Linked DNA regions of Mytilus edulis. The protein of the gene in region 1 interacts with the protein of each later gene in a pairwise test. Links are inferred from orthologs where the notes say so. Each region holds a gene or a part of one and is shown on either strand. Other genes may lie near its edges.

Region 1 (11,180 bases):
GAAATACCTAGTTTTTCCCCTTTTTTGCCTCGAATTTCAAAATATTTTGAGCCATAACCCCCCAAAGTCAATACTAACCATCCCTCCATGGTATGTAAACTTGTGGTTTAATTTCAGAGAGATTCATACACTAAAACATAAGTTATTGTTTGAAAACTACAAAGATGATTATTTTGGGCCCCCTTTTTGGCTCCCAATTCCTAAACTATTGGAACCTTCTTGTAAAAATTTATAGAGATCCATACACTTAAACACAAGTTATTGTCTGTAAACTAGAAAAATGCTTGTTTATGGCCCCTTTTTGGTCCTAAATTCCTACACTGTTTGCCCAAAGAACCCCTTACAATAAATCCCAACCTTCTACTTATGGTATTTAAACATTGTGGTAAAATTTCAGAACAATTGAAATACTAATACACATCTTTTTGTCCTGTAACTAGATAAATGCTGTTTTTGGCCCCTTTGAACCCCTAATTCCTAAACCTTTGGGAGCATAAACCCCAAAATCAATCCCAAGCTTCCTTTTGTGGTTATAAACATTGTGTTAAAATTTTATTTATTTCTTTTTACTTATTCAAAAGTTATTATCCGGAAACAATCCATCTTCAGACGAAGACGACCACCAGAAACCAATATTCTACCAAATTTTTTTGCGGTCGTATAAAAAATGCATAAAAATTGCTTGTTGCAAATAACGGATATGGCTCCAACAACTTTGTTGAGGTGCCATAAAAAAGACAATATTAAAAATAACCTGTCTTTCATTGTCTAAGGCGGATCAAAGCTTTCAATGGAACTCCAAAAATCCAGTCTATCATCTGGAAACAAATTATGACCAACATGAGGATTCCAATATATCCCAAACTCTTGCAAACTCCTTGAGCAGGATAATGAAAAGTAAAATTGGTAACTAAGAAAAGAAAATGTCTAAATTACTATTTTTTTAGAAGGCATAATTTCAGAATGGCAAGGGCAACCTGGAATATAATCCATAACTTAGTTTTCAAATCATAATGTCAACTTTTTGAAATCCCTAGTCATGCTAGTTGGCTTGTACATTTTTTTAAGTTTTCAAAAACAAAGAAGCAAGACACACTGCCCAATTCAATTCATTATGCTTCATTTTCATGATGTCATTACTTATTACCAGTATGCTTGTACGATGGGTTATTTAAGTCAATGATGTTTATTCTACTACAAAAATGTATAGCAGTCCTTTGTTAATTCATGTACATGATGTCTTATTGTCATTTTGCTTAGTTTCTTTTGTTAACTATTCTGACATCAGACTAGGTCTTTTTTTGTATTGTGGTTTTACTGTGCATATTGCTGTTTGTTTATTATACATTGGCTAGTGATATAGGGGGAGGGGGAGATCTCACAAAATATGTTTAACCCTGCCTAAAGTCAGGAGCCTCTGGTCTTCGTTAGTCTTTTAATTTAGTATGACTTCCATTAGCACTGGACAAGTACACATTTTTGTTTAGGAGCCAGCTGAAGACAGACACTGGGTGTGGGTTTTTCTTGCTGTGTTGAATACCAATCTACTCTTTGGTCAGGTTGTCTCTTTGTGATATATTCTGCACTTCAATTCTCAATTTATATGTGTACTATAAATGTAAATAAATAACTTTCTCATGACAACATGTTTATTAGTATAAAATGAACATTTGCTAATGTACATATAAAATAATGACTTTGAATGAATGAAAATGACTGAATGTAAAAATTACTTTGTTTTAGACGTTTAGTTTGTGTCAGAATATCTAAATCATGATTGAACAAGTCATTTCTATTCAAATCTGATGCAACAAACCAAAACTATTTTGAACAAAGATCTTGTTTTGTTAAAAGATATTTAAGTCTTTTTAAGACTCCACGGTTTGAATTTGAAATTACCAGCCTATCGAGAGAGAACAAGTCTGACAGATAACATAGTAAATACACAATTCTGCATCTTTGCAGTCCTGTTTTTACAATACAAAATATTCTGATTTTCCATGGAACACCATTGTACATTTATTTGCTGGTAGCCATTGGATTCCTGAGAACCAAGATAACGGAATCTCCTCGTAAGAACATTTTTGAGATATATCTGTCTTTGTTCACTGGCTTGGATTTCTTCTTTCCTTTTCCTGTTTTAGGGGTCTCTGTCCACATTTCCTTCACATTTTCCAATACCATATTACAATGTCTGAAATAATCATAATAAACGAAATCAGATGGTGATGTGAGGCAGATGCTACATGATGAGATTCTTAAGGTTATTGGTATTTGGATTTCGCAGTTTGTTATTTATTTTCATCAATAAAAATATACAAATTTGCATGAAATTGGATGCTCCTTCAAAGTTGAAAAAAAAAATCAAAAAGAGGTTGCATCACTGTCATAATTGAAGAAAGGAATACAAACAATAATATAGATTACTATCACAACCCTCAATGATTTGTCTGTGACAGTTCGAATTAGTTTACAAATGCATGCAATGGGACATACATGTAAATGCAATGGTTCAGTCTTGCTGATATACCTACCTATCAAAAGCTTTCACTCTGGCCAATAATTTCTTGTTGTTTCTGCAGTTGATAAGGACTTGAGTGTTGTTCTTTACTGACTGGGTCAGTACAGACAGGGGACCGGTATTAAACTCTTCTTGTTCCCTACTGGACAACTCTTCTGGAGTCATCTCACTTTTGGGTTTTTGTAATAATGCACTGAAAAATAAAATAAAATATCAATTAACTATGAATTAAATCATGTTCATACAATATATAATGTTAATGCAGTTTAACTTAAATCTTTGTGATATCATTTATCAGGAATGGAATTAGTGGTACCATTTTATACAACTCTAGAACAGTTAAAGTGATGTCTACAAAATTCATATTTGATCTGTATTTTGTGGTAATATGCATTGTGTATGTTCTGGACCATATGAGTATTTGGACCATAAGCGTATGGTCATGACCATATGGGTATATACTCATATGGTCTGGGTAATTAACAGGTTTACTTTTAATACTTAACTCTTCATATAACCCTTCTGGTTAATTGTCACATCATTTAAAAAAGAAAGACACTACCAAAAGTCATTTTATTATAGATCAATTAAAAGATATTGATAACAAGATTAACTAAATAAAATAAGCAGTTTCACCCAGTAAATTTCATCATTAGTCAAAATTATTAGAAACACATTTTATACCACTGGTCATTACTGATACATTTTGTACATGTATGTTTTTATGAGTGAATGGTTAAATGCTGATTTGGGAGGAAAACGTCCAAAAATATCTGTTAGGCCAAAATTAAAAATATGTTTGTTTCCCCTCCCCCCACCCGGGTCAAAAAATTATTTTCCACAAAAAAATCGAAATTATTTTTTTTCCTGAAAATAATTTGTTTCCATTTTTGGAAAGTACTTGAAAGCAGAAGGTTTGATAATCTTAATAAATACACTCAAATTGAGCACAAACAACTGATAAGTGGCCTGGACTATACAAGTCAAACCATTCATGTGACCATGCTATGACAATCACATCCAGTTAAAAAAAAAAAAAAAAAAGAACCTGCCTTCCTGGTCTGTTTACAAAGGGTAGACCCGGGGGAGGGGAAACAGACATTCTTTTCAATGTGGCCTTACATAAGAAGTCAACCGTTTTACTATAAACTGATATAAAAGTGCAAGATAAAGAGTCTAATTACATGTATTTGCTTACAGTTTGAAACTTTTAAATTACCATTAACAGTTCAGAAATTTTTTTACTTATACATGTTTTTGTTTTTAAAAATGATTGACGTCACTGGAATGGACCCTAGTTTTTTTTAGTAATATCTGTGATGTGATGTTATTCAGTCATGTTATAATATTGGAGATCTAGAGCTTTTTAAAAACACTGTACACATAGGAACGACCCAGGACCCATAAAACATAATGGTTCTCTTAGGAAATGTGGGAGTTTTTGCAATTGAGATTTAAAAAAAACAAACTATTCAATGATTGATTATGTGGTGTGGAAAATTAACTCCCTTCTTTCAAGGATATTGTTTCATAAAAATGCTAATAAGAATTTCCTTTTTGTCTTTTTGAAACATACTAAATTCTATTCTGTATCTTAAAGCTAGAAATTACATTTAAAAAAGATTGAAACCAATCGTCGTTTAACGATGCCATAAGTTTGTTTTTTTTCATTTGGATTTTATATTACGAAAATTATTCTGCGCCATGTTTAAACTGGTGTTATTGAGCTCCGACTCATGAATAAAATTTTCTTAAAGTGATGGATTAACTATTTCTTTAACACAAGTAAGTATTTTTTTTAATAGTTTTCGTGCTTAAGTTATTTAAAATGATATTTGGCCCGTTAAATATTTGACATAGAAAGAAGATTTAAGCAATTTTGTTCCGAACCTGAAATGATGTCGGAAAGTGCTAAAAGAATTTAACATATCTCTATATGACTTCGCATTTAAAAAAAAATAAAAATGAAAATATCAGTATAAAAACGTTAAAAATTGAATAAAAATACGAAGTCATATGTTATAGGACTAGTGTCAACTGTGAATAGAAATTGTTTACATATTTGGTTACTTGTTCTTTGAAAATAAGTTGTTTCACTGGGAATTATTAACACATCTCATTTATAAACTAAAAGTGAAACAAGGAAGGCCCTTCTTGAGTTCTGTTCATTGGTTTGTTTACGCCAGATCCGGTAGTATTTTTTGTATTTCTAAAACAACTATATTAAATTCTCGACAATATTATCTTATTGTATGCTACACCATGTTTGTGTTAGGAAGTATGATGAGGATGGAGACCTTTAGTACAGTGAACCGTGCAAAAAAATATGTAAACAAACACTTGTGGTGGTCAATACAACACCAAAATCCGTGTAAATAAGGATGAGAATAACGAAAATTGAGATAAAAACAATAGGAAATATGCATGAATAAGTGATAAAGGATATTAAACTGTTCTTACGACATGATGATGAATTGATGCAAATAGATTATTTGCAGTTACAAAATATTTGGCTTGTGCCGCCGCTTTAACCGGAAGTTGATAGTAAAACGTTTGTACTGGTCCCCTATATGTAATTGCATGTGCTGGTTGAAAACACATAAGGAAACCAGATATAATTTTGGATATTTCTTGAAATCATCTTGGTGTTTTCCTGATCACAGAATCTTCATTGATAAGAAAGATCTAATACAACACTGATCAACTGACCGGCGAACGAAGTAAGATACGACACGTCAGTAATTACACAGCACAAACAAGACATGTAAGCAAAATTGTCTTCAAACGTTTGTACATTTGGGAAATTCTAAATTGATTGAAATGATGGCAAGAGTTAGAACGCTCAAAGTCTCAAGTGGCACTGTTGTCTGTTTGAGTTTTGAGTGTTGTTTACAGTCCACGAAAAACATTTAACTTTTTTTTTTTTTTTACTGTTTTAGCTTTATTACAACTTCAAGCACCGAAGGCGTTTATTTGCTATTTTTTTTTTACCTGGCTACGCTGCAGGACATTGAAGTTATATGAATAGTCTAATTTTTAGTGTTTTTTGATGAACTACAGTTGTAAATTGTAGTTATGCAGACCAACCAAATGCTGCATCAATACACTTTATCGCTATTTGTTTGCCATAACTGGACATTTAAAAGGTTCACGTAAAATTTCAACAAATACAAAATATCTGACATCATAATGGAAAAGTGCAAATGATTCTGTTTGATGACCCATATGTACATGTATTTAGAGTAGACAAAGGAAACAGTTTGTAGATTCATAAAAAAACCTGTGACAGAATGTTATTTTTCCATAATGCACCAATCCCCCCACCTGTTTCTCGTTTCATTGAAAATTTATAAGCCCATTATCAACTTAATAAAAACCTGGGAACTGCTTCTTCAATGTAACATACAAATTAACATCTTCATTGACATGAAAAGCATTGTTGTACAATTTTTGTGGGTTGATTATATAGGGAATCACTAAAGCATAACTGGAGCAAAGTAAGTAAGTAAGTAAGTAAAACTTTATTTGGATTCGGCATATTGACAAACAATACAAACATAAGCTCTAATGAGCTTTTCACCGAATATAAAAACATATGCAATAACAAATAAAACAAGGCATGCAGCATGCAATAAATAATAAGAAGCAGCACCAAAAATTAACTCTAAGCAAATAGATAATACATGTATCTTGCAAAATACCAAAACATATATATGAAGCACTAAAATTTTTAAAAATTTTCTGTTTAAAAATTAATTTTTAAATAATTTATGAATTATAAAGTAAAAAATTTCAAATCTTTCAAATTTTAAAAGGTAAAAAACAAAATTTCAGTTGCAACGCAGGCTGTTAATGCAGCATAAAAAGCATAAATATTGTAACACAAAGTTATCTACAGGCAGAGCAAAAACATTCTGTTCCACTCCAGGACTGTACAAGACTCTTAAAATGTGAGAAGCTGTTAACAGTCCTGAAGTGGTCAGGTAAGCTATTCCATAAAGTAGCAGCAGCAAAACTAAAAGATTTTTTTCCATATGAGGTAGTTCTTACCTGTGGTACATCCAAAATATTGCTGTATCTAAAAGAATATTTAGTGTGTTTAATTTTTATTAAATTTTGTAAACATACAGGAGCCAAATTATTTAAAATTTTATAAGTCTCAAGTGCCATTGTCCTGATGCGTCTTACTTGTAGGGTTGGAACCTTTGCATTCTCAAGAAGAGTTTCAGAGGATGATAAATAGTCGTCGTATACAAATCGTAATGCTCTCTCTTGTATTTTTTCAAGTTTTTTAGAATTTTTCTCTGTACAAAAATGCCAAGCCAAAGGGCAAAAATTAAAATTACTCAAAATAAAAGTATGAAAAATTGTAAGTTTATTTAATCTGTTTAAAAATGATCCAATTCTCTTGAGAACATTCAGCTGTTGTGATGCCTTTCTACACAAGTTACTTATATGTGCATCAAATTTTAGTTGGTAATCAATATCAATTCCAAGTAACTTTACTGTTTCTTCACATGATAAAATATTTTGCTGAATTTGTATAGATGGATTTTTTGCAAAGGTTCTTTTCCCTACAGCAATAACTTGGAATTTATCAGGGTTTGCCTGCATCTTATTTTCTTTAAACCAATCAATAAGCACTTGAGACTCAGATTCTAATGTTGATATGAGATGGTCATAATCCGGACTACTAAAAGACAGAGTATTGTCGTCCGCATAATTATATAATGTACCATGTTTAACAAAATAAAAAATATCATTTATGAAGATATTAAATAAAAGGGGCCCCAATATAGAACCTTGGGGTACCCCTTTTTGGATGTCAGCCCAGCTACTCAGAACACCGTTTACTTTAATTTGCTGTTTTCTATCAGAAAGATATGATTTTAATAAAGATACTGAATGTGGAGAAACACCATATGCTAGTAATTTATCTAGTAAAATTTCATGAGGTAAGCAGTCAAAAGCTTTTGATAAATCCATAAGAACTGCAGCTATATATAAGTTTTTGTCTAAAGCTTTACGCCAGTCTTCCAGTAATCTGAGCAACGTAGTCTGACATCCATGTCCTCTACGGAAAGCACATAAATAAGGGTTAAAAATGGAATCAAAGAAATCGTATAACTGTATTTCAAATATTTTTTCGTAAAATTTTGAAAAAATAGGTAACACACTGACTGGTCTGTAATTTGATTTAAGTAGTGGGTCACTCTTTTTATGCAAGGGTGTAACTTGGGCTTCTTTAAGTTTGTCTGGAAATATGCCCGTGTCCACAGTCAAATTTATAAGACTGGTTAGCTGAGGTGCAACGACAGATTTGCTAGCTTTAACTATTTTTGCTGGTATCCCATCTGCTCCAGTTGCTTTTTTGACATTAACTTTATTTATGATTTTTTCCACTTTTTCTGAAAAAAATCATAAATAAAGTTAATGTCAAAAAAGCAACTGGAGCAGATGGGATACCAGCAAAAATACATTGTAAGTCAGTCAGCGGAACCTCCCTTAATATGAAAAAATCTGGATCCACCACTGTGATGAAATATGATGAACACCAAAAGACATCTAGAGTACAACAAACTGTTTTTGATGGTAATTGCGTATTCCATAGACAAATGTTTGTACAAATGTACATACATGACATACATGTTTAGTACTGTACAATGTTTGTTGAGCTCAAACTAAAGATGATAAACCCTACAGCTAGCATGGCTAGTAAAGGTAGGATGAGAAAAAATTGAACACAATCAACCATCTTCAAACTTCAATTGGGGTCTCAATCTACTGCATCACCAGTCTGTCAGCAGTAATTTTTGTGAGATTTTGAACCCAGCACAAGACAGGTTCTTTGTACATCAATTTCAATAGACCACCTTCGAGTTCATCCGTCACCAGAAAAAACTTGTCAACCATGCCCGCCTTTATGACATCATTTACCAGATAGAGGGGATCACCTGTATCCCTGCACTATTTATGTTCATCAAGGTCTTGGTGATGGTCATTGTGCAAGATAAACTAGAAATAATGTTTGTTTTGTAAGTACTTTATCACAACTCCTGCATCATGCCATGACAGCAGTGCTGATTGTCAATTATGACAATTTAATTTGCAGAATAATTTGTGCAAAAATGCATTATAGTTTTCCAACCACTTGCTTAACATTGGAACAGATTACAGAAGTGACGATGCTCCTAAATGCACAAACAATGTTCAATAAAACCAGAGTTTTTGACCTAAATGTATCGAACTCGAAAGTTGTCTATTGACCAGTTATCCTATCAATTTTCTATTGTTTTCTCAGGGCACTCTAGATACTCCCACTTATACATGTTATATAAACTGGCCATCATGATTGAAATTACCAATAGTGCTGAAGTGGTTGTATAAAACAAATCATATAACCACCTATTATCACTCAATTACATATAATCAATCAAACTTATAAATGTTCCGTCATGAAAGAGAGGTTGTCATTTAGAATTATAAATTATAAATTTTAAATGTATGTGATTTCAAATTCAGAATGAAGATAAGCTGGGTTGTAAATGGTCTGTTGGTGCTGTTAATGGTTGTACAAGCTTGGGCTGGAGAAGAAGAAAAGAAGAAGAAATTACAGATTGGTGTGAAGAAGAGGGTAGACAACTGTACAGTCAAATCTAGAAAAGGAGATACACTTCACATGCATTATACTGTAAGTGTAATATGAGGCAGGCATTACCTGTGAATGGGGATGAAGTTTGTTTAAATTTATTTTTTTTGTAATTTAAATATTTGTTAAAAAAAAAAGATACGGAAATACCGTAACGTTTCCGATTTTGGTTCTGTTGTTAGGGATTTTACTTGTGACGTTATTTAAGTTATGACGTCATGTTCAATGTAAACAAAGAAACGCAATGCATCAGGTAGGCCTAACGTTTATTCATACCAAAGACAAAGAATGATTAAAAATGAAATATTGGTATTGTGTTCCTTGAGTTCCTATATTTTACTAGACTAATCAAAGTCTCACGACAACAAGACCGGAAGAAGGAAGTAGAGTTATGTGTTCTGCGCAGATCCGGAAATTAAAAAACATGACAAAAAAAAATTGAACGATTTTGAGTTCATTAGTACAATGAAAAATTCGGGAAATTTTCCCGATTTTTTTTTTTTTTTTTTTTTTTATTGAATTATTACTGTAATAGGGGACTTCGTCCCCATATAATACACATCTAAAAGAACAAAAATTATTACCAATGCATACGTCCTGAACATGTTTTATATACATCATGGTAACTTTGATAACTACAATGTATATTTACATTTATATATCATGTTACATGATATATAAATAGTTATCAAAGTTACCATGCTTATAATTTAATACGCCAGACGGGCCTTTGGTCTACATAAGACTCATCTGACAGTGACGCTCAGATCAAAATAAGCAAAAAATTAAAGAGCAATGAGGACCCAAACTTACAAATAATGGTGCCAAATACGGCTAAGGTAATCTTTGCATGGGATAAGAAAATCCTGTTTTTCGAAAAAATAAACAATTTCTTTATTATCATACATGTAAGTAGATACTCTACACATATACAGGGTTTGCTCACATTGTGTAATTGAAGGCATTTTAAAACAAAATAAACATGATAAACAGCTACCCATTTTTTCCTGTTTATGCAATGTATCATATACTATATCTGACTTTATACACTTTTTAAACACCCTATTTATCACTCAGTGTTGAATGTATAAAAATCAATTAAGATTTGACTACAAACTAAAGTAAAATAACAATAAAGAAAACTAATTTCCAAAAATAGTTTAAAAAAAATTACTAATGAAAATATGTATGTTGGCAGTACAGTGTATAGTAATATCATTCCAGTAATTAAAAGAACTTGATACATTAAAATATCATCTTTTTCCAAGGAGTTTTATTAGTTTCAATTTGCTCTTTCTATTTCTCTTTTTGTGGTCAAAATGGTGGTTCTACTTTTTTTTTGTCTTCATCAAAGCATGCATAGAAGTAGAAATGTTTTGATAAATTTCAGGGTAAATTAGAAGATGGTACAGAATTTGACAGCAGTATACCAAGGAAAGAACCATTTGTTTTTACATTAGGAGCTGGACAAGTTATTAAAGGATGGGATCAAGGTTTACTGGGGTAAGTTGTTAAAGGATTTAAATATCTTGACAAGAAAGGCTATCATTAAAGTTTTACAGGAATTAGTTGTACAGTATGGGGTTGATGCCTATTCATTGGGATAAGTTTTAAAAAGTTATATAAAGATTTACTGTAAAGCTTGGTATATTTTTTAATCAATGTTAGAATTAAAAGATAATTTGATAAGTCAGTGGATTAAATAAGGAAAAATCTAGTGAAAAGACTGTCATAAATATTCAGCTTTTAAAATTTGCTACTGGTACTTATATCAGTAATGAATTACTTTTTGTTTGATTTTTCTTATATATATTTTTTTACAATTGTCAATCAATTTAATTCATACAATCAAATTACATCTTGACATACTTTACAAAAGATGTGAAAGATGAATGAAGATTATTTAAGGAATGACTGTAATATTTTTTCTGTCTATGAAGAAATAACATAAAAAAATTGGTGCACACTGAATAACGCGCGTAGCGGGTTATTTAACAGTGTACATGTGCA
Region 2 (11,273 bases), on another chromosome or scaffold:
AAATTTCTGGGCTGATAGATCTTGACCTAATGAACATTTTAACCCCATGTCAGATTTGCTCTAAATGCTTTCGTTTTTGAGATATAAGCCAAAAACTGCATTTGACCCCTATGTTCTATTTTAAGTAACGGCGGCCATGTTTTTTGACGGATCAAAAATCGAAGCAAACACTTTGTGCAGGATAATCTAAGGAACTATCATGCTAAGTTTCATCCAAATTTCATTCAGTAGTTTCAGAGGAGAAGATTTTTTAAAGTTAGCAAATATGATGAACAAATTGTGAAAAATTGTCATTAAAGGACATTTACCCCTTAAGGGGTCAATTGACAATTTTGGTCATATGAACCTATTTGTAGATCTTACTTTGCTGATCATTTTTGCTGTTTACAGTTTATCTTCATCTATAATAATATTCAAGATAATGACCAAAAACTGCAAAATTTCCTTAAAATTACCAATTAAGTGGCAGCAACCCAACAATGGTTTGTTTGATTCATCTGAAAATTTCTGGGCTGATAGATCTTGACCTAATGAACATTTTTACCCCATGTCAGATTTGCTCTAAATGCTTCCATTTTTGAGATATAAGCCAAAAACTGCATTTGACCCCTATGTTCTATTTTAAGTAACGGCGGCCATGTTTTTTGACGGATCAAAAATCGAAGCACACACTTTGTGCAGGATAATCTAAGGAACAATCATTTTAAGTTTCATTCAAATCCATTCAGTAGTTTCAGAGGAGAAGATGTTTGAAAAATTGTTAACGACGACAGATGACGACGACGGACGCCAAGTGATGAGAAAAGCTCACTTGGCCTTTTAGGCCAGGTGAGCTAAAAAGAAAATGTGATATGATTGCCAATGAAACAACTCTTCACATGAGACCAAAATGACACATAAATTAACAACTATAGGCCACCGTACGACCTTCAACAATGAGCAAAGCCCATACCGCAAAGTCAGCTATAAAAGGCTGAAATGAAATGAAATAACAATGTAAATCAATTTAAATGAGAAAACTACTGGCCTTATTTATTTACAAAAATGAACGAAATGGTATGGTTCATCAGACCAAAGACATATAATATTATGTATTGTATATTAAATAATTTGATCAGACTACGACTTCATTTTCATAGAATGCTGATAATTTTTAAGTTGATGTGATATTTGTAGTAAAATCTTCAAATTTCAGACTGACCATGAAACCAATAATCAGTAAAACAGACAAGAGACACTTCAGCATGTGAATTCTTATATTTTTTTTGTACCTTGACCTCATTTTCACGGTTTATTGGTCTGAAATTTTGTATTTTGGTTTTCCACTATAAGTAATAGGTCAACTATATTTGGTGTGGAATTGTCAAGTTTCTGTAGTAAAAAATCCTTTTGTAAGATACCACAATTAGTAGGTCAACTTTATTTGGAATGGTTGTAAGATGAACATGTCTGCCGTACAGGGTTTATCTGACTTTCACCTTAAATTATTGTTTTAAATATTAATTTTCCAAATGAAATCTGTTTCTCAGATACTATAAACAATTAGGTCCACTATATATTTGATGTACGGAATGATTGTTACTGTTAGTTGTACATGTCTGTCTGACAGTCTTCACCTGACCATGACCTCATGTTCATTGTTCATTTTTTTGGTCTGTTTCTTGTATACTTTAAGCAAGAGGTCAATCATAATTGGTGTATTCATTGTAAGTTTATTCTCATCCTAAAAATACACGAAATATTTGCCTCAGTTAAGCAAACAATAGTCAATCATAAAAACTTAGCCCTGTACAAATCTTAAGAACTTTTAACATTGTACCAATAATGATTGTCGTCACTGCCAGTTTATCTCTGGTTAAAAAAATTAATTTGAGCATACAGGAATCCCATCTTTGAGAAAATGTATGAAGGCAATCCTTTAACTTTGGTATCACCAGTCTTGAGAAATGAATAGTCTTATCCTATCTTTAAATCTTAACATTTTACCATTACATCAAAACTGTAAATTACGAGGAACTGGAAGAGTGATTGTCTGAAAACATGGACAAATAAAAGACTTGATAACAGAAACAGGGGTTGTGTAAAAGAGACAACAACTCAACCAAAGAGCAAAGATCAGCTGGCCCGAACAATAATGTATACTTAGTTCAGCAAATTGGACAACACACTTAACTCAAAACATAACCCATTTTGCACGCAGGAAAGACAAAGTAATGGAAAGGATATCAGATAGAGATGTCTTGGCTCTGGTTATAAATTAGGAAATACCTGCTTTTGTATACTTTTATCCTTCAAACAAGGCAAAACTTTATAAACTGCTATAAGGAAATATAAACTGGAAAAAGTGAGTAAACAAAAGTTAACATACAATTTTTAAAAATCATTTGATTAGAGCTACATATTCCTGGGCCTATAGAAAACTCTAATATACCACAACAAATTACTTTATTTGTTGTTAAAACAATATATGTACAACATAATAAAATCTTATAACCATGTATCATATGCGATGTTAATTGTTTTATGTTTGTTCCAAGTCTTGTCTGCCTTAGAGTAAATGAGATGATACAAAAAAGTATGAAGATGGCTTAGTTCCTGCTCAATAACCTTTGCATCCATGATTCACTTCACAATTTATAGAATACATACATTAACATGATATTCAAATGGAAATGATTAAAATGTTCAAAATTTATAAAAAGATGTGTCCATCAAAAGATGAGATGATAACAATAATGAATGAATGAGAGATGGTAAAATGGAGATCTTAGTCCTTCATTTCTCCTTCTTCATCTTCTTCTTCCACTCCTCTGATGTACAAAACATTGTTACATCTGAAACAGAAAAGTAACAGACATTATTTATCTAATATGTATAGTCATTCTAATAATTATGATTCAAACTTTCTTTTTGCTACACTTTGAATCTTTGTTATTTTTGTTTTTAATCTTGTTAAATTATTTTATCATACATGGCTGACATTTCATATTTGCCATCGTTTTCCCTTTGGATGAAACTAATTCATGAATTTTCTTTTTTTACATTTTTTGCCGGTAAGAAATTGATGTGTATCACACTTTCAAATATTTTATAATAATAATAATAAACATCTGGAAATTTATTGTTATAAATGAAAGGTGAACAAAGGAACAAAATTCCATTGAATTGTGCATAGTTTATTTGTCCATGGGCAATATTTTGAATAACAAAAAATATCTTTATAGAAAAAAGGTGGCCTTGAACAGCACTTCCAAGGCAATTTCAATATAATTCATATTTTCAAGGGGCATAACTTTTTTTAACATAAAAGGGGAATGTGAGTTAGTACACGAATGCCCCTTAAGTTTTGCAATTTTCAAAAGTTTTCAGATATAAACCTTTGATATAAGAACGAAAAAATCTGGGAAGAATTGTATATGTGAGAATGCTTTCAAGACTAGACAGATAGACATCTGGTATTTCTATGCTACTGCAAAAAGTGTTGTGTGCAGGGGACATAAAGTTAATAAAGATTAAGTATTCTTAGAAAATACATGAAACAAAGCTTAATACTTTTTTTAAATTACAAATTGACATATAGACTATCTTCAGTGTGCATTTAATTAAAACAATACTTGCACAACATTTCTTCCAAAACTGAAAGCTCAAAAAATTAATCTATTTGAAATATTTGCAGTAAAGTGAAAGGAAATTATACATTATTCTTTATAATTAATTAAATACCTGATTAGAACCTCTCCAAGATTGCCTGTCTGAATACCATCAATGAATTCTTCTGTGTTAGCAAGCTAGAAACATAAAATACACAAAGCTTTAGTAAAACTTATCACTTCACATTTCCTTGAAGCTAGATCTACTTATTTTTATCTACATGTACATGTATGAGATATTATAATTCACATCTTGAAAATATCATTACATGTAACTTTTATCAACAAGTTTATCAATAATTCCAAAAAAATGAAACATGAATACTATATAATATATAATAATATCTGATTTAGCATGTTTAAAGGGCACAGCCATTTTTTTTATTTTGTTGGTACGATTTTCATAAAAAAATCAAAGTTAAAACTTTCCACTTTTTATTACATGTATTATTGCCTGACTATTCTTAATTCATTTCACCTAAAATATAAATGACTATACATGTATCTGTGTAGAAGCATTTACCTCAAATATTAAGAATGTGCATTATTTATCATGTTTCAACATAAACAGACAGAAATGATCACACAAAAACTTTAGTCCTGCTTGTCTGTGTTTTAAGAAAAAATCTGTTGTGATTTCAAAAGAAAATTCATAAATAAAAGACAATCAAAATGGATCTTGAAATTTATTTGCACAACAAAAACCAAAGTAAACTAAACCACTCTTTATAGAGAGTGAATTTCCCTTTATTGTCATAATCATGAAATATATTATACTTAACCATTTTGGAATACAGTCACAATGTTTAAAAATAAAATATTTCATGATTATGACAATTTTTTTTCAAGGAGACAAAACTTAAAAGTACTGCAAGGCAAGTCTTCTACATAATGTTTATTGGTGTCTATAAATCAACTGACCTGTAAGTTCATGTAACCATCTACAGATACCAAGTAGCCTTTATATTCCATTCCCCATTTTAGCTTGACCATCACTGGTTTTCCTGTTAGTCCATTTAAAAATGGTTTCGGGTTCATAGGTAAAGCCTAAAAGTAAACAAAATAAAAAGTTAACAAATACACAAAATAGTGTTTATTATATCATACTAAATAAGTCATATAAACAAGTTTGTAGACAGTACATGTTTATAACATTACATGTATGTTCCATAACTTTTTCATCTCTTAACAATAAAAAGTATAATGTAATAAAAAAAAACAGTCAGCTAATTATTATCTTGCATGTACATGTACACAATGTAGGTCCTACATCAACTGACATTTCAAAGCCTTCTTTTGTCTAGATTTATAAAATTGGGTTTAGAACTGAAACTTTTATCTTCCACTGGAAATTCAAAATAGCATAGTTGAACTTTCTGTTTTAGGCTGTTAAGTACATTTATTGACAATTTCTGCAGGCAATTTGTGGTTAAACAAAATGCTCATTTTATAGACAGCTTTTGAATTCATTACATTTCCAGCAATAACTTCCGTTTTAGTAAACATTGTTCGAATGTTTATGGGCATCTTCACTTCCGTTACTATGTTGTGCAAGTGATATGATGCTACAATGTATATTGCACAAATTATTTGGCAAATCAAATTCTTATAATTGCTCAGTGAACAGAATTGCCCAAAATTGTCAAACAGGCTTATTTATAATACACAGTGTTCTAGCCAGGATTTGAAAAGGGTATGGTGCTACATGTAGTTCAAAAAGGGGCAATTTTACGTGTAACTGCCATTGAAAAAAGGGCAATTTTACATGTTAATTAATGTCACTGAAAAAAAGGCAATTATTTAAGCCTCATAATTAATTAGCACATAACTTTTACTATGCATTCTTGTAAATTCAAGTTTCAGTTAAAATGGAGTAATATATTTCAAATTCAATACTTTTGGCAAATTTTTCATGGTTGACTTCATAAATCTATGGTCATGATGCTGAGACCCTTTCAGGAAGCTGTTTCTTTCATATAACATGTATGTAGTTGCTGTTATATTACCAGTCTCACCAATGTATTAACAGATTTTGTGATTTTTTTATACTAGATTGCACTTGATAGATCAGTTAATGGAAGTAAAGATATAATTTTCAAAATATTTAATTTTGAAGTGTATTCAAGTGAAAATAACTTAAAGAAATATTCTAATATGCATTTGCATTAAATTAATTTTTAATCCTTTTACAAAAAGAAACATAAATTTAAAGAATATAGTGTGAACAGGTGGAAAATAAGGGGAAGTAACTTATTTTGTTGATATACACAAATTATGTTGCATGACCTAAAGCTAAGATTATTTGTGTTAATTGACAATTATGTGTTTGACACCAAAGCTGTCAGAAGAAGCCATGCACTTAATGGGTTACTTAATTTGACAGTTTGCACAGGTAGCTGAACTTCTTGTTCATGGAAGATTTACAAATCAGCAGGTCGTCTGAGGGACAGCAGAAAAAAGGCACGGGCGTTGTGCCCTGTTCAAACTTTGTAGCTAGACCACTGATACACCATATCGCTATTTGTCCACCATTACTGGATATCACACAGGTTCCCATAAAATTTTGACGTCATAAACGAAATATCTGACGCCACAATGGATAAGTGATTGTGTACGATGTCAAAAGTTCAAGCCGTCGGGTCAGCCGGGATAATTTAGCGATAAGGTGTATAAACAGATAAACAGACATAGACTAATTCTTAGATTGACATATATTGGAAGATGGACCCATCACTGATAGTATCAGTATTTAGCTCTGCGTCATAAACTATTTTTTGTAGGTTTAAGTGATAAATTTAAATGAAATGCAAGATAATGGTGTAATGCATGTGTTATAGTAGTCTCAAAATGCATACACAAATAAAATGCGCTTTGTTATGACCTCCCCCTTTTTATATGACATCCTGGATTCCCTTTATTTAAAGCGGAATTTCATAGATTGGTCATTTTACAGAAAAGTAGGGTTAATCTAAGAACTGTGCATCGAAGATGATCAGTATATACGTACGGCCATCGTGTGTTTTCTTGTGTGATTCGATTAATAACAACAGCGTGGTCTATTCGTTTCGCCGCCGGTGGTTAATAAATAATAAGAAATTATTAACCCACAAAAAAACGAAACATTTTAATCAAAATTATTCTAAATTTTACACAATACATCAATTTTAGTGAAATTACATCAAAAGAAGCGATTTTAGTTAAATTAACTAGAATTTTATGAATTTAGTTACACATTAATATATGGTAAACTAAAATTCGTTTTGTTTGAAAACAATGAATAAATAAAATATTAAGTTATGTCCCTTGTTGTACAAAAATAATGAAATGGGAGTTGTGTGGTAATTGTTTGAAATAGGTTCAATGCATGAGCTTAAATGCACCTAACTCATTTTAAGAAATCGCAATCTGTATAGGTTAAAAAAAGTTCAAAGTCATTTCATATTGTAGAAGACTAAAAATAACTAGATTTCACTGTGCACTTTTTTTGGTCCTTGCTAAAGATAATGAAATTAACAAACTGTTGAGTTTCAGTTGATATGGTCCACTCAGTGACACAGTTTAAATCTACAATTATTGTCAGGTATCTATTGTCTCTCTGTTGTCCTTGTCAATGTACAGTCCTCTTCAAATCCAGGTTTTTGAAGAGCTAATACTGGTACTGAAAAAAATTTGATGTATGCCTTTTTGTGCTTCTTCGTTACATTTGTTGTTTTTAGTGATTAGGATGATAACACAATGTTGACTGCTGTACCCCTATTTTTTGACATTTTTACCTATTGTGTCTGTTTGTTTTGTTCATGCATCGGTGACAATATAATGGAATTTGATGCAACTGTCATACAAGTGAGAGGTTTAGCTAGCTATAAAACCAGGTTCAATCCACCATTTTCTACATTTGAAAATGCCTGTACCAAGTCAGGAATATGACAGTTCTTGTCCATTTGTTTATGATGCGTTTTGTTATTTGATTTTGCCATGTGCATGATGTGATTATGGACTTTCCGAATTGATTTTCCTCTGAGTTCAGTATTTTTTTTCCCATGAAATAAAATTTACTATTTAAAAAAATGTAGAATTATAGAAAATTGATGAAAATATGTATAAAACTTTTGCTTACTTTTTAAATTATAAAAAATATTGTATCTAATGGGATGCAGGTCGTTTTCTAACTGAGACGTTTGTAACCTTATAATTACAATATATTTATAATAGTGCGAGTCATAAGTAAATGGCCAGTGGAGCATATGAGTACTGACTTTAACAAGCTAAAGGACATGGCTCCAGTTGGTCGTCTACGAGTAGTTCTACGGTATGTTCAAAAACATTGAACAGTCGACAGTGGCCAAATGCAAGTTGGTGTGTGTTTATGCAATCCATCCCACCATTATTAACGACGTAGAGTGATGGCACAACAACCTTAACACCAAAGCTGTCATCGACAACCATTCATTCTATCTTTGACAAAAAAAAGGAGAAAATAATTATTTTTTTCAGCTTGTGTGCCATTTTTAATACTCTACTATTCACTTTATACCTCATTTTGTACCTACTGTTATTACTTTTTATTACCTGCCATTAGTTGTCCTTAAACCATTAAAGTTGTCACCGAGCATAATTACTAATTAGTTTTAATTGAAAATATTGTTATTATCAGGCCACACCAATTTGATTAATAGTTCTTTGGATTTTCCTGCTCCTGTTTTGGAGAAATTGACTTTTCAATGAAAAAAATAATTATCTCTTCTGCAAATTTTTGGGCCGCATGCCGCTCCAAAATTAGTTTATCATTGACATTTTTTTGTTTATCCTTGACATTTTTTTTTCTCATAGATGTTTTTCTTGTGCACATCCATCGATTCAAATGCACGTGTGATAAATAGATTTGTTAATAAAAGGTCAAAAATTAGGATGCCAACATGAAGTTGTGTCAGTTTATTGCAAAGGACAAGTACCATGAGTACAGAGATAATTTTAATGTGCGTATTGTTATGCGTTTACTTTACTACATTGGTTAGAGGTATAGGGGGAGGGTTGAGATCTCACAAACATGTTTAACCCCGCCGCATTTTTGCGCCTGTCCCAAGTCAGGAGCCTCTGGCCTTTGTTAGTCTTGTATTATTTTAATTTTAGTTTCTTGTGTACAATTTGGAAATTAGTATGGCGTTCATTATCACTGGACTAGTATATATTTGTTTAGGGGCCAGCTGAAGGACGCCTCCGGGTGCGGGAATTTCTCGCTACATTGAGGACCTGTTGGTGACCCTCTGCTGTTGTTTTTTATTTGGGCGGGTTGTTGTCTCTTTGACACATTCCCCATTTCCATTCTCAATTTTATAGAGTACCAGTAGTTATGGTATTAAACACACAGTTATTTGAAATGCATTTCGTTTTATTTATGAAGACCTGTTCTAGGAGATAAAATAAAAAATCTTTCGTTAGATGACCACGATCACATTTGTACTCGTTAGATCCATTGTCATCCCCAATCATTGTTTCAGCTGTTCAACAGACATAGTACGAGATCACTCTAACGTCCATCACACATACATCTAATTATATGCATAAGACATGGATCATGTTTTTCCTTTTTTTTCTTTGAAGTAACCCAGTTTGAACATGAAGATAAAGTTTTAAATTGCACAATTTAAAAAAACACATTTTACCGCTCACTCCACTTGTAGAGCACCTGCCTCATCAAAACTCAATTTCTTGAAATATATACAATCAAAAAAATTTCTCTTGCTTGCCCAATATTTTTTGGAGCTTTTGTCCTAAGAAGTACAAATCAAATTGGTGTGGCCTCAAATGAACATTTTGATCATTTTAAGAAAATAATTGTTTAAATTAAACTATTAAATTGATTTAAACTAACAATTTATAACCATATATAATTACACCAGGTACGAAACGCCTCAGTTACAAATCAACGTAGTTACGAATCAACCAGGTATAAAACGACCAGGTTACGAAAAAATTAGCATTCCTAAAAGTGGAAAGGGATTAATATTAGTTACAAAACTTGTTTTCCAATCCACTATAAATAGATATGTTTAAACGAATTAGCATTCCTGTAATTATGTTTTCATGATGTCACAATTCCTCACATTAATGGTGAAAATCAAAATCTCAAAGATATCTTTCTATTTTTCTGTTTCATATATATTTTGGTCAAAGGGTATGGCCAGTGTTTAAAATGCAGTTTAACAGCAAATTTGAAGGAAAAGGAGAGAATATAACCTTTGTTTGTTTGTATGTCCATACATCCCAAAATTGGTTTCTGTTATCTGAATTTAGTTTTCATCAACCAAATGTTATGAAACTTGTATACACTATACACAATGGTTATTACAACAAAACACAGAGCAATTTTAAATTTTGGTGGTGTTACCTTTACTGTTCAAGAGTTATGCCCCCTTACCATTGAAAATATTGCTGAATTTGTCTTTCTCTAACTTAAGTTTTCCTTTACCAAATGTTATGAAACTTATACACAATGTTTATTACCACAAAACTCAGATCAAGTACAGGTTTGGGTGACTTGAGATCACTTCTTTACTGTTCTTGAGTTATGTCCCTTTATCATGTTTATAATGTCACAAGTAAGTGAAGGCATAATCTGTGTCCCTTGGATACGTTCCCAATTTTTTTATTTTTTTAAAGCATTCTAAACTTTTGAAAATATCTAGTTTATGTGTTATTTTTTTTTAATTTTGCACATTTAAGATTGCAAGTATTGGTAATTAGGTTACAATATATGTATATATGCTATTGTTTGAAATTAAGGGCCAAATTTTGGCTGTCTCTGTCCTATATTTTTCAGTTTCCTTTGATATCCCTTTTTGATAATCATATTCAACTTTGTTCTAATTTTGTCTTTGTAGTATTTTTAGCTATGCTGTGCCTGAGGGTAAGAGTGGACAACAAGCAGTTGATATGTTACAGAAAAATGTAGAATTACTAGGAGCTACAAGATCTGGAAACTTTTGTGTTGATTGTGAAACTTACCAGTCAAATTCACAGAATAGTAAGTTATACATTGTACAAAAAAAGTAATTGTTCCTTGAATCATTATTTATGTAAGGGGATCTTATTATAACATGGTTGACATATCTATCAAAGAAGACCACAGAATTTGTTTTTTTTTTGTTGTTGCAACAACTCTCCCATCCTTTTCCTCATTTATTACTCATCTTCAAATATGACCAGATGGTTATTTTTTGTAAGCAACATTATGATGTGTACTACTTGTATTACTAGGCTAGCAGAATTTGTCTATGGTACCCTTTGGATTACCTGGAGTTACCTTTTTTAAATAGTTTCATGTTTCTCAATCTCAAAAAAGTTACAATGTAAGTGTCATTGTTCTCAACTAAAAAATATTTATTGATATTCACTTGTTTTCATTGATAGACCAAAATAAAAAATCTTATTACACTGTAGCAGTCAGCGGAATCTAGAGTGCTCATGCTTATAATCAACCAATATTAAATGACAGCTTATCAGCACATTTCACATACAAATAAAAAGGTGTAATTCAATTTAACAAATGTTACTGCAATAAGGTTCAAACAGTTAAACTTTAATGTGATATGACACAGAAAATGTTTACATGGTAGATGTCAC

Evidence for each region.
Region 2: the proteins of small nuclear ribonucleoprotein Sm D2 (region 1) and small nuclear ribonucleoprotein F interact in binary tests that used the Caenorhabditis elegans proteins (3 or more experiments, as listed by UniProt). The link is inferred for Mytilus edulis from reciprocal best matches to the Caenorhabditis elegans genes snr-4 and snr-5.

What each region holds. Positions count from the first base shown.
Region 1 is NC_092346.1:9,273,845-9,285,024, reverse strand, and holds small nuclear ribonucleoprotein Sm D2, read right to left. Parts: upstream 5,121-11,180; 5' UTR 4,987-5,120; coding exon 4,982-4,986; intron 2,715-4,981; coding exon 2,535-2,714; intron 2,195-2,534; coding exon 2,020-2,194; 3' UTR 1,632-2,019; downstream 1-1,631. Other genes in the region: peptidyl-prolyl cis-trans isomerase FKBP2-like, read left to right, coding at 9,045-9,212, 10,561-10,673. UniProt on the Caenorhabditis elegans protein: Plays a role in pre-mRNA splicing as a core component of the spliceosomal U1, U2, U4 and U5 small nuclear ribonucleoproteins (snRNPs), the building blocks of the spliceosome.
Region 2 is NC_092344.1:16,047,431-16,058,703, reverse strand, and holds small nuclear ribonucleoprotein F, read right to left. Parts: upstream 6,747-11,273; 5' UTR 6,664-6,746; coding exon 6,658-6,663; intron 4,698-6,657; coding exon 4,572-4,697; intron 3,789-4,571; coding exon 3,724-3,788; intron 2,835-3,723; coding exon 2,768-2,834; 3' UTR 2,429-2,767; downstream 1-2,428. Other genes in the region: mediator of RNA polymerase II transcription subunit 20-like, read left to right, coding at 7,925-7,959, 10,532-10,674.